Zea mays: one gene and its partner. The protein of the gene in region 1 binds, or shares a complex with, the protein of each later gene. Links are inferred from orthologs where the notes say so. Each region holds a gene or a part of one and is shown on either strand. Other genes may lie near its edges.

What was found.
Region 2: actin-related protein 2 (region 1) and Actin-related protein 2/3 complex subunit 2A share a complex: the UniProt entries of both Arabidopsis thaliana proteins name them as parts of the arp2/3 complex. The link is inferred for Zea mays from reciprocal best matches to the Arabidopsis thaliana genes ARP2 and DIS2.

What each region holds. Positions count from the first base shown.
Region 1 is NC_050102.1:183,446,271-183,450,529, forward strand, and holds the start of actin-related protein 2, read right to left. Parts: upstream 2,805-4,259; 5' UTR 2,650-2,804; coding exon 2,608-2,649; intron 1,790-2,607; coding exon 1,679-1,789; intron 1,592-1,678; coding exon 1,457-1,591; intron 1,318-1,456; coding exon 1,246-1,317; intron 1,157-1,245; coding exon 1,078-1,156; intron 966-1,077; coding exon 916-965; intron 327-915; coding exon 223-326; intron 138-222; coding exon 69-137; intron 1-68. UniProt on the Arabidopsis thaliana protein: Functions as ATP-binding component of the Arp2/3 complex which is involved in regulation of actin polymerization and together with an activating nucleation-promoting factor (NPF) mediates the formation of branched actin networks.
Region 2 is NC_050097.1:239,327,509-239,331,335, reverse strand, and holds part of Actin-related protein 2/3 complex subunit 2A, read left to right. Parts: intron 1-275; coding exon 276-408; intron 409-483; coding exon 484-575; intron 576-1,831; coding exon 1,832-1,888; intron 1,889-3,827. UniProt on the Arabidopsis thaliana protein: Functions as actin-binding component of the Arp2/3 complex which is involved in regulation of actin polymerization and together with an activating nucleation-promoting factor (NPF) mediates the formation of branched actin networks.

The DNA of each region.
Region 1 (4,259 bases):
TAATTTAACTGTCATGACTAGATATCCAGCAAGACAGAAACAATAATTAAGAAAATAAAACAACTTACCTTATATAACATAGCTTCTCTTTTATTTCTCTGACAGTCTCAAAGTCAGCAGATTTATTCATAGCATACCTTTTAAAGTGGGAGAATTAATTGAATTATAAAAATAATGTAGCAGCAACTGCAGAAGAAATCTTCAGAGAAAGATAGGTATTACCCTCTCCTTGAGAGTAGGTCAACAAGATAAGATGTTATATGCCTTCCAGCTACATTCATTCTCTTTGTCAGATGTGGATAAGAGTATCCATCAACTACAGGCACCTGAATGCATGAAAAAGATGGTAGGTACAAATTTAAGATTGGAAGTGGAATAAATTAGTTAAAATTAAAAGCTTCATATCAAAGTATTTGTTAAAGTAGACACTTGTCGCACAGGGATAAAGAAGGTTGATCTCTGGTCCAAACTTAATATCCCAAATGGAAATAGGTTTTGCAACATGAGCAAAATTGCATGGTTGTAGTTTTTTTAAAAGAAAATGATGTAAAAACATCAAAAGGACACGCTGAAAACAAAAAAGAGCATGAGATGCAGAGGATTCAAACATAGTTTAAAAACCAGATAATATACAATGGTCAATTAGATAGTGTTATATCTTTTTGCTATTATTCATATGTGATTGATCTCTAATTTATAAATGTAAAGATCCCAAATTCTTAAAGGCTTTCATACAGCGTACTGAATCATTGACTGGCGCACTATTTAAAATTCCATCCTACAGTGTTCTGGGTTAATATGATGCTACCATGATATTTGAGCTGGTTACACGAAGATGATTAGAAATTACCCCCCCCCCCCCCCTCTCAAACCATAATACTTAGTCAAATATAGGGAAGAACGGTATTGACATACCACATGAGTAACACCATCACCAGAATCTATCACAAGTCCAGTTAGCAAGCCTGAAACATATAATAAATACATGTAGAGTGGAGTGTTAATGTGATCTTGTATGTGCTTGTGTGGATGCACAAAGCCCCAGACAGGAGCACATGGTCAGGAGGGAGAGATGACCTTGAGCATACAGTGAAAGAACTGCTTGGATCTGGATGAAGACCCCAGCAAAGTTATATTTCTCGAACATTGTCTCGATCTGTTCATGGGATTCAATTTTTTACGCATTGATGTTAGAAACTACAGATGTGGCAGTATGTGACAAATTGATAAAAGGAAATGGCATACCATTTTTTCTCGGTTTTTCACGGGATTGAGTGGTGGATCTGTCAGTAGGATTTTACACTCAGATGGATCAACCTAAATGAAGAAAAAAAAGAAAGGTCTCAGTTTACCAAGAGCTGGGAGACTTAGGATATATAATTAAGGATATCAACTTTTTGGAGAAAGGGTATGGCATAACAAGTAAGGGCAAAGCATACCAGCAATATAGATATACCTTGAGCTCACTGTAGAAGGCATGATCCCAGATATGGCCCATGTCATCCCAATTTTGAACAATGCCATTGGTAACAGGATATGATACATCAAGTTGATGTCTCAAGTCAGCACAAGCTGCTCCAACAACAATATCCTGCAACGAACATAAGCACCTATTATAAGATGTACCCATGAACATGAAGTAAGTTCCAGAAAGATGGTAACAAAAATAGTTTCAGACCGTCAATTCTTGTTCCTGAAGTGACTCCTCATAGCGAAGTAGCGGTCGTCCGACAACACAAGGGAACACAGATGTAGGGAAGTTCTCACCAGCAAAGCCACACTTCACATACTGCGACCAGAAGGTGTGGAATTAGAGAATGAATCATCCACTTTTGTAATCTGGCTCATTGTCGTTTACTCATACCGGAGACTCAACAAGCCTCGCATCTGTCCGTATAATGTATTATAATACTGGCGAAAGCTGAGAGCAGATTAAGGTCACCAAATTTTCAGCAGGATATCACATGTACACAGAAAATTTAGCTTGTACTAAAAGCCTCAGGCTGAATCGACATTTCTTCTGTGCATCAATATATCTATCTAGTAACTGCATTGTTCTACAGACTATATGTCTGACATTCATGAAATAATTTATGGTTTTCAACTGAACAAAAAATTGGGGGGGGGGGGGGGGGGGGGGGGATGGAACTTAACCCAAATACGCTGTCAACACAAGACCTAGACATTTTTGACCAGCAAATTTTGAATATACAGAGAGCCCACGTTAGAAGGGCTAAAATAGCAATTTTTTCCAACTTTTCGAGCACCCCACGCCATTGTTTGTGAATAACAATTCCCGACTGCGTCAGCAAATGTGGTTTCAAGCTAATCCAATGCCCCTGAACTACCAAACTGCGGCGACCGATGCCCCAGCAAACAACCGTGTCTCGCTTCGAGTCATCCATGGCTCCCAGCCACCGTCCAGCCGAATCCATCCACCGGCGGTCCACTCACGAACCGGCTCCTCCGAGTCGGTGGCCGAAGCAGCAGCGGATTGCGTCGGGGTGGTACGCGAGAAACTCGGGCGTGACCCAGAGTAAGAACGGGCGGCGGATCTAGTCTAGGAAGGAAGCGGAGATGGTGTGGATCAGGGAGGGGAGGGCTTACCCCGGTACCATTGTCGCACACCACTACGTTCCTGCTCTCCATTCGCGCTTCTCTACCTCCCCCTCCTCCTATGGGGAATTGTGGAGACAGGTGGGGAGAAGAGAAGACGAACCAGACTGCGGGAGCGGGACTGAAACTACGGACGGTCCCTGACCCTGATCAGTACTACTCGTGTCGTTAGTGCTTCTCTTGTGTTCCTCCCTCTCAAAAAAAAAGAACAATTGGATCTATATCATTAAAAGATCCAAACTTTAGATATATACCATGGATCTCACATGTCATTGACTCATGTGGACCCACATGTAAGTGAGATAGTAATGGTATGGATCCAAAGTGGTGATCTTTTAATGGTATGATCCAAATTTCCCCAAAAAAAATGTTGCTTCTCTTGTGTTAATCGTTGTCTAGTTACAAAATACTCGCGGTCACAAAATATAATTCTATTAGCCTACATTTTTTCGTCCACGTTAATATAAATGATAATGAATATAAATATAAATGTAAACAGCATTCATATGGTACTTAATGAATGTACAATTAGTCTCAAACAAATTATACATGTAAATTGGTCTTACATTTGTATTCCTAGCTCAATGGTATACAAAAGACAGTAGATAATAACATTACATTACAACATTACATCTCTACTGTTGGAGAGGGAATTCTTCGGCCGGGTGGCAGAATGTATCCGCCCTAAATCCTAAGATGAAGAAGGGGCTTAAACGTTTTGCCTGTCTTGCTAAGCGATCACCGAGCACATGAACACACGAGGATTTATAGTGGTTCGGGTCGTCGGAGCGTAATACCCTACTCCAGTGTGTGTTGGATTGTTGTGGAAGCTTGAAAGCTGAGAGTCTCTGTCTAAGTTTGGTCTAAGAGAGCTTGTGTTGTAACGTTGCATGACTCCCCTTTTATAGCTAAAGGGATGCATGTACAAGGGTGCTGAGCCCCGACATGTGGGCCCAGGAACATAACGGATATAGTGCTTGGAGCTACTAATGTTCGCTGCTGGAGCAATCTTCTCGCGCATTGACATCTGAGATCTGCATAGCATCGGCGTGCAGGGGAAGCTTCTCGTATAAGGGATGATGGACACAGTGCGTCGCGCAGCACGGGCGCACTGTTTGACAATGGACTGGACAGACGCGCCGTCTGCAGGATGGCCCTCGCGCGACCTGCTAGCGGAGTGGACAGGACGCATTAAATGCTGAGGGGGCACATCGCCTGTCAGCAGGGTGGACAGGCGGCGCGTCCTCTCCGCAATAAATGCAGAGACCGCGTGGCCTAGAGGCCTTACGTCAGGCTCCGCCCGCTGGCTTATGTCACGGGCAACAAGTCACGTGGCAGCATCGGGTCTCCGCCTGAGCGGGGAGCGCAAGCGCACAGGATAAGGCCTGGACACGTGTCAGTACCGGACCCTTGCTTACGCCAGGGTATCCCCTGTCCCAGGACCTCGCTGTGGCCCGGACCTTACTCGGAGGGATCTGGACCCCATCCAAGGGACCCGGCATGCTTACTTGGGAGTCCCGGACCGTAATCGGGGGTCCGGGTTGTGCGTACAGGGGGTCCGGTGCTTCCTCGCGGAGGTCCGGTCCAACTGATACATCCTGGGATGTATCATCTTTTCTCGCCACGTGGTGCCCCTTGAGCCG
Region 2 (3,827 bases), on another chromosome or scaffold:
GAACTGCAATGGTGCTTCTGTTCTGATCTTTCAACGTGTGTGGTGTCCATGTGGGCCTAGTGGTTTGTGTGGGGTAGGTTGGGATGGATGAAGGGGGTGCGTAGTGTTTAGGTGTTTTTATTAATGAAATGTAGTTATCCTATGTGTTTGAGAAAAAAAACTTTTTTGTTGGCATAGCTACCCTGCTAAAGCCTTGGCATTACTATTCTGCTGAGGTCCCTTTCATTATGACACAATCGATGTGAACATCTTGCTTGCTTCTTGTTTAAATTTAGGAATTTGTGGAGGCAAGACGAACAGCTGCACTTAATAATGTTCCTTCTTGTATGTGGTCTCCGGTACCACCTCTTGAGTTAAAAGGAGTATCTGCTGATGCACTAAATGCAAATGCTGGCTTTGTTACTTTCGGTAATTTGCGCTTTTCCTAGTGTCCCTTGTTCCTCCATGAAACTATTTTGCCTCACAGTCTTTTAATTTGTGCAGTTGTTTACCCTCGGCATGTTGAGGGTAAAAAGCTAGATAGAACAGTTTGGAATTTGTTGACATTTCATGCTTATGTAAGCTATCATGTAAAGGTAAGGCCCTTTAATCTGGTGCCATTTGTTTATATGGAATTACTGAGTTACTACCAGCAACTTCCCTTGAATATCTGGGAATTCACTAATCATGGCGAATCAGAACATTTCATATGGATGGCTGGATTTGACTGAAACTGAATTGATTTGTTTGCTTCAAATGACATTATCGTTGTTTATCTCTACTCTATAAAGCACCGGTTTCCTGGTTTCCACGGTCGTTGTGCGTCACCCTTCCTACTTTATGCAAAAATAAGGTAAAATTGTACATAACTGAGGTTTGAAATTTGGTTGTTGACTCTACAACCACACCAACCTTACCAACATAACACACATATTTTTATGTTTTATTAAAAGAAAGTCTATCTATATGATATATAGAAGCCATAACAATGCACATGCACGTGTATTTGACTAGTGCCAAGTAATATGTGACATTCTTACCATGCCTCGAATATACCCAAAATACAATTTTTTTGGAGAAGTCCTGGGATTTGGGCAAATAATCTGGGAAAATTTGTTACAGATGGGAGCAGAGAAAGGAAATTTTGGGGTGCAGTGTATTTTCACAGCGTACACTAGCTTCTGATTCAGAATAATAGAACCAAAGGACTCTTCTTTGACCCATAACCCATATTAACAGCTGGCTTGAGTGGTGATACAACCTACTCCTGGATCAATCTGTACTTGCAGATGGCTATCTTGGGAGAAATTGGGAGTAGTTTCTAACCATACATAGCCATCTCAATGTTTGTACAACACTATATTTGGGAACATTTGACATTTATGTTGCTTGTGCTTTGTATTGGTTCTTGGCTGCTTACTAGTAAGCATTCAATACTCTGCATCTCTGGACTAGCATCGGCTCTTATTGTGTTCTATGTGCAAACCCAAGTCCCAACATACAAACCCCAAATATGTAAATCAATCAGTCTAAAATCTTTGTTCTAACAACTCCATCTTGCACTACTACTGATATGCAGAGGAGCATACATTATCATGTGTCAACACATTACTTATATTATTAATATAAACAAACCGATAGATTATCATGTGTCAACACATTACTTATATTATTAATATAAACAAACCGATACCTTCGTTGTTATTGTTGTCTCTTATGATTTTTATTTTCTTTTGGAAGCAATTTCTGTCATAGTAACTATTAGCCTTCTATGAACTTTTGATATTAGTTTTACACTAATTTGTTACTTATAATTTTGCAAGTTCTCAATTGCCATGGTTTCTTGTATCAGTGTTCTGAAGGATTCATGCATACCAGGATGAGGCGCAGGGTTGAGTCGCTGATCCAGGTAGACTTGAAACATTCTTTTATTGGATCAGGTCATTCTAGAGATCTTGTACTTCATATGATTGTTGAACACTGCAACTTGACCAACAACCATCAGCATTGGTCTTAGATCCCAGGAACGTCGTTGTTAACTAGGACCGTACAACCGTCCTTATCGATCTACCCTAGGCTAGCGATGTTTGCTATCAACGGGGCAATGAAGTAGACGCCAACTAGCACCTATTGCTATCAACCATGGAGCCGTCGTCGAACCGTACGGTCCCGCAGCCGCTGGTGTCGAGCTCATAGAAGGTCATGTGCTCCTCCGTATTGTGGTTTGTTGCGCTGGTGTAAGGATCTCTCGAGATGAACAAACATTTGGTTCTCGTCGAGGTGGATCTCCGACGCCAGAGTGGGGCTGTCTTCGTGGGAGGCGACCTGGTGTCATTGGCGGATAGGGGTGACAATGGGCTCTAAATTTTACACTATAAGATTTAAGGACCGGATCGGATTAGGATCGGGCTCTATTTCTATTCATTTTTGAACTAAAATTTATTTAGTACCCTACCATTTTGTGAAGAAGCATTTGGATCGCGATCCATTACCACCCCTATTGGCGGACGCCAGAGCTACGAGCGCCACATGCTCTGGCTCCTCGCCGAACACCCACCGTGTGCTGCCTCCGTCCTCGATCTGGAGGTGAGTCCATCTCTAGCTCCAAGTGATGCGATATTCGCCGACGGTTGATGGATTTGGGGAATATGGATGCACTGGTGCCCCCTTTTGCTCACCTCTTCAATTTGGGCCATGGAGGCAGGGCCCAAAATCAACGTCCCTTCAGTGGGCTCCTCCCTGGTGTGATCAGTCTGGGTCTGTTCGTCCATCTTCTTGCGACATTCATGAGCCCAATACCCGTTATGCTGCCACCACATCATGCTCACGATTTCTGCCCGATTGTCGCTCGAGCTTCGACTACCAGAGAGTTGGGGCCGCGACACAACATGTGCCATCAACTCAGCCTTGGTCAGGTTTAGGCTAACTAAGGCTCCACCGCTTTAGTGAGTTTTTTTGGCGTTGCCAAACTACACCACTATGATACACACAATTACAAAGGGTCAAAAGGAAACTATCCATCAGCTATCAATTAGCTAAGAAAGGGAACTAATCAATGATCAACCAGCTAAGAAAAAACTAATCAATCAGCTATCAAATAGCTAAGAGATGAAACCAACCAATCAACTAAGAAGGAAACGAATAAACCCAGCTGGATTATGCAACATGATTGATCTTCGCTATGTGACTTCAGAGCTTTAGTTGGTTTATTTTTTCACAAAGGTGTAGACCAGATCTCAGCATAGGTTTTATCTCTCCAAACTGTGTTTGATGATGATCCACCTTGAGTTCGAGGGGAGGTGTTGGATGGCTATGCATGTGTCCTTATCGCGTTCGTCCTCATATATAGAATCCTTGTTGTATAGGGGGTCTCTATCCTGTATCGCTGTATATATTCGGGCCTAGTGCCCCCATATTATAATAGCTCTTTTCATTTAAGATGATCCCTTGAGAAAATAGGGTATCCTAGGAATTGACAGTTTGTGAGATAAAGTAAATGACGCATATAATCCTCTTTTAATTGTAGAGAGAGATTGGGATTACCATATTTGAGTTGGTTATAGGCATTAATGCTGCCTTTTTAAACTAGAATGTTTTTGTATGTGTGGGTGGAGGCGGTGGTATTTCACCTATAATCTCTTATAATTTTGGACAAATTATGAATGCTTGATGCCTTATATTTCAGGATAGAGACAGGAATATATTTTATAAATATTTCTAGAGAAATTTTTTAAAAAAGATTGACCTAGGACAAACTTAGACTTATATTTGTGATTGGAGGAATTTAGTACTTCAATATCTACACTAATCTTACATAGTTCATTCATAAATAGTAACTCTTAGTATCC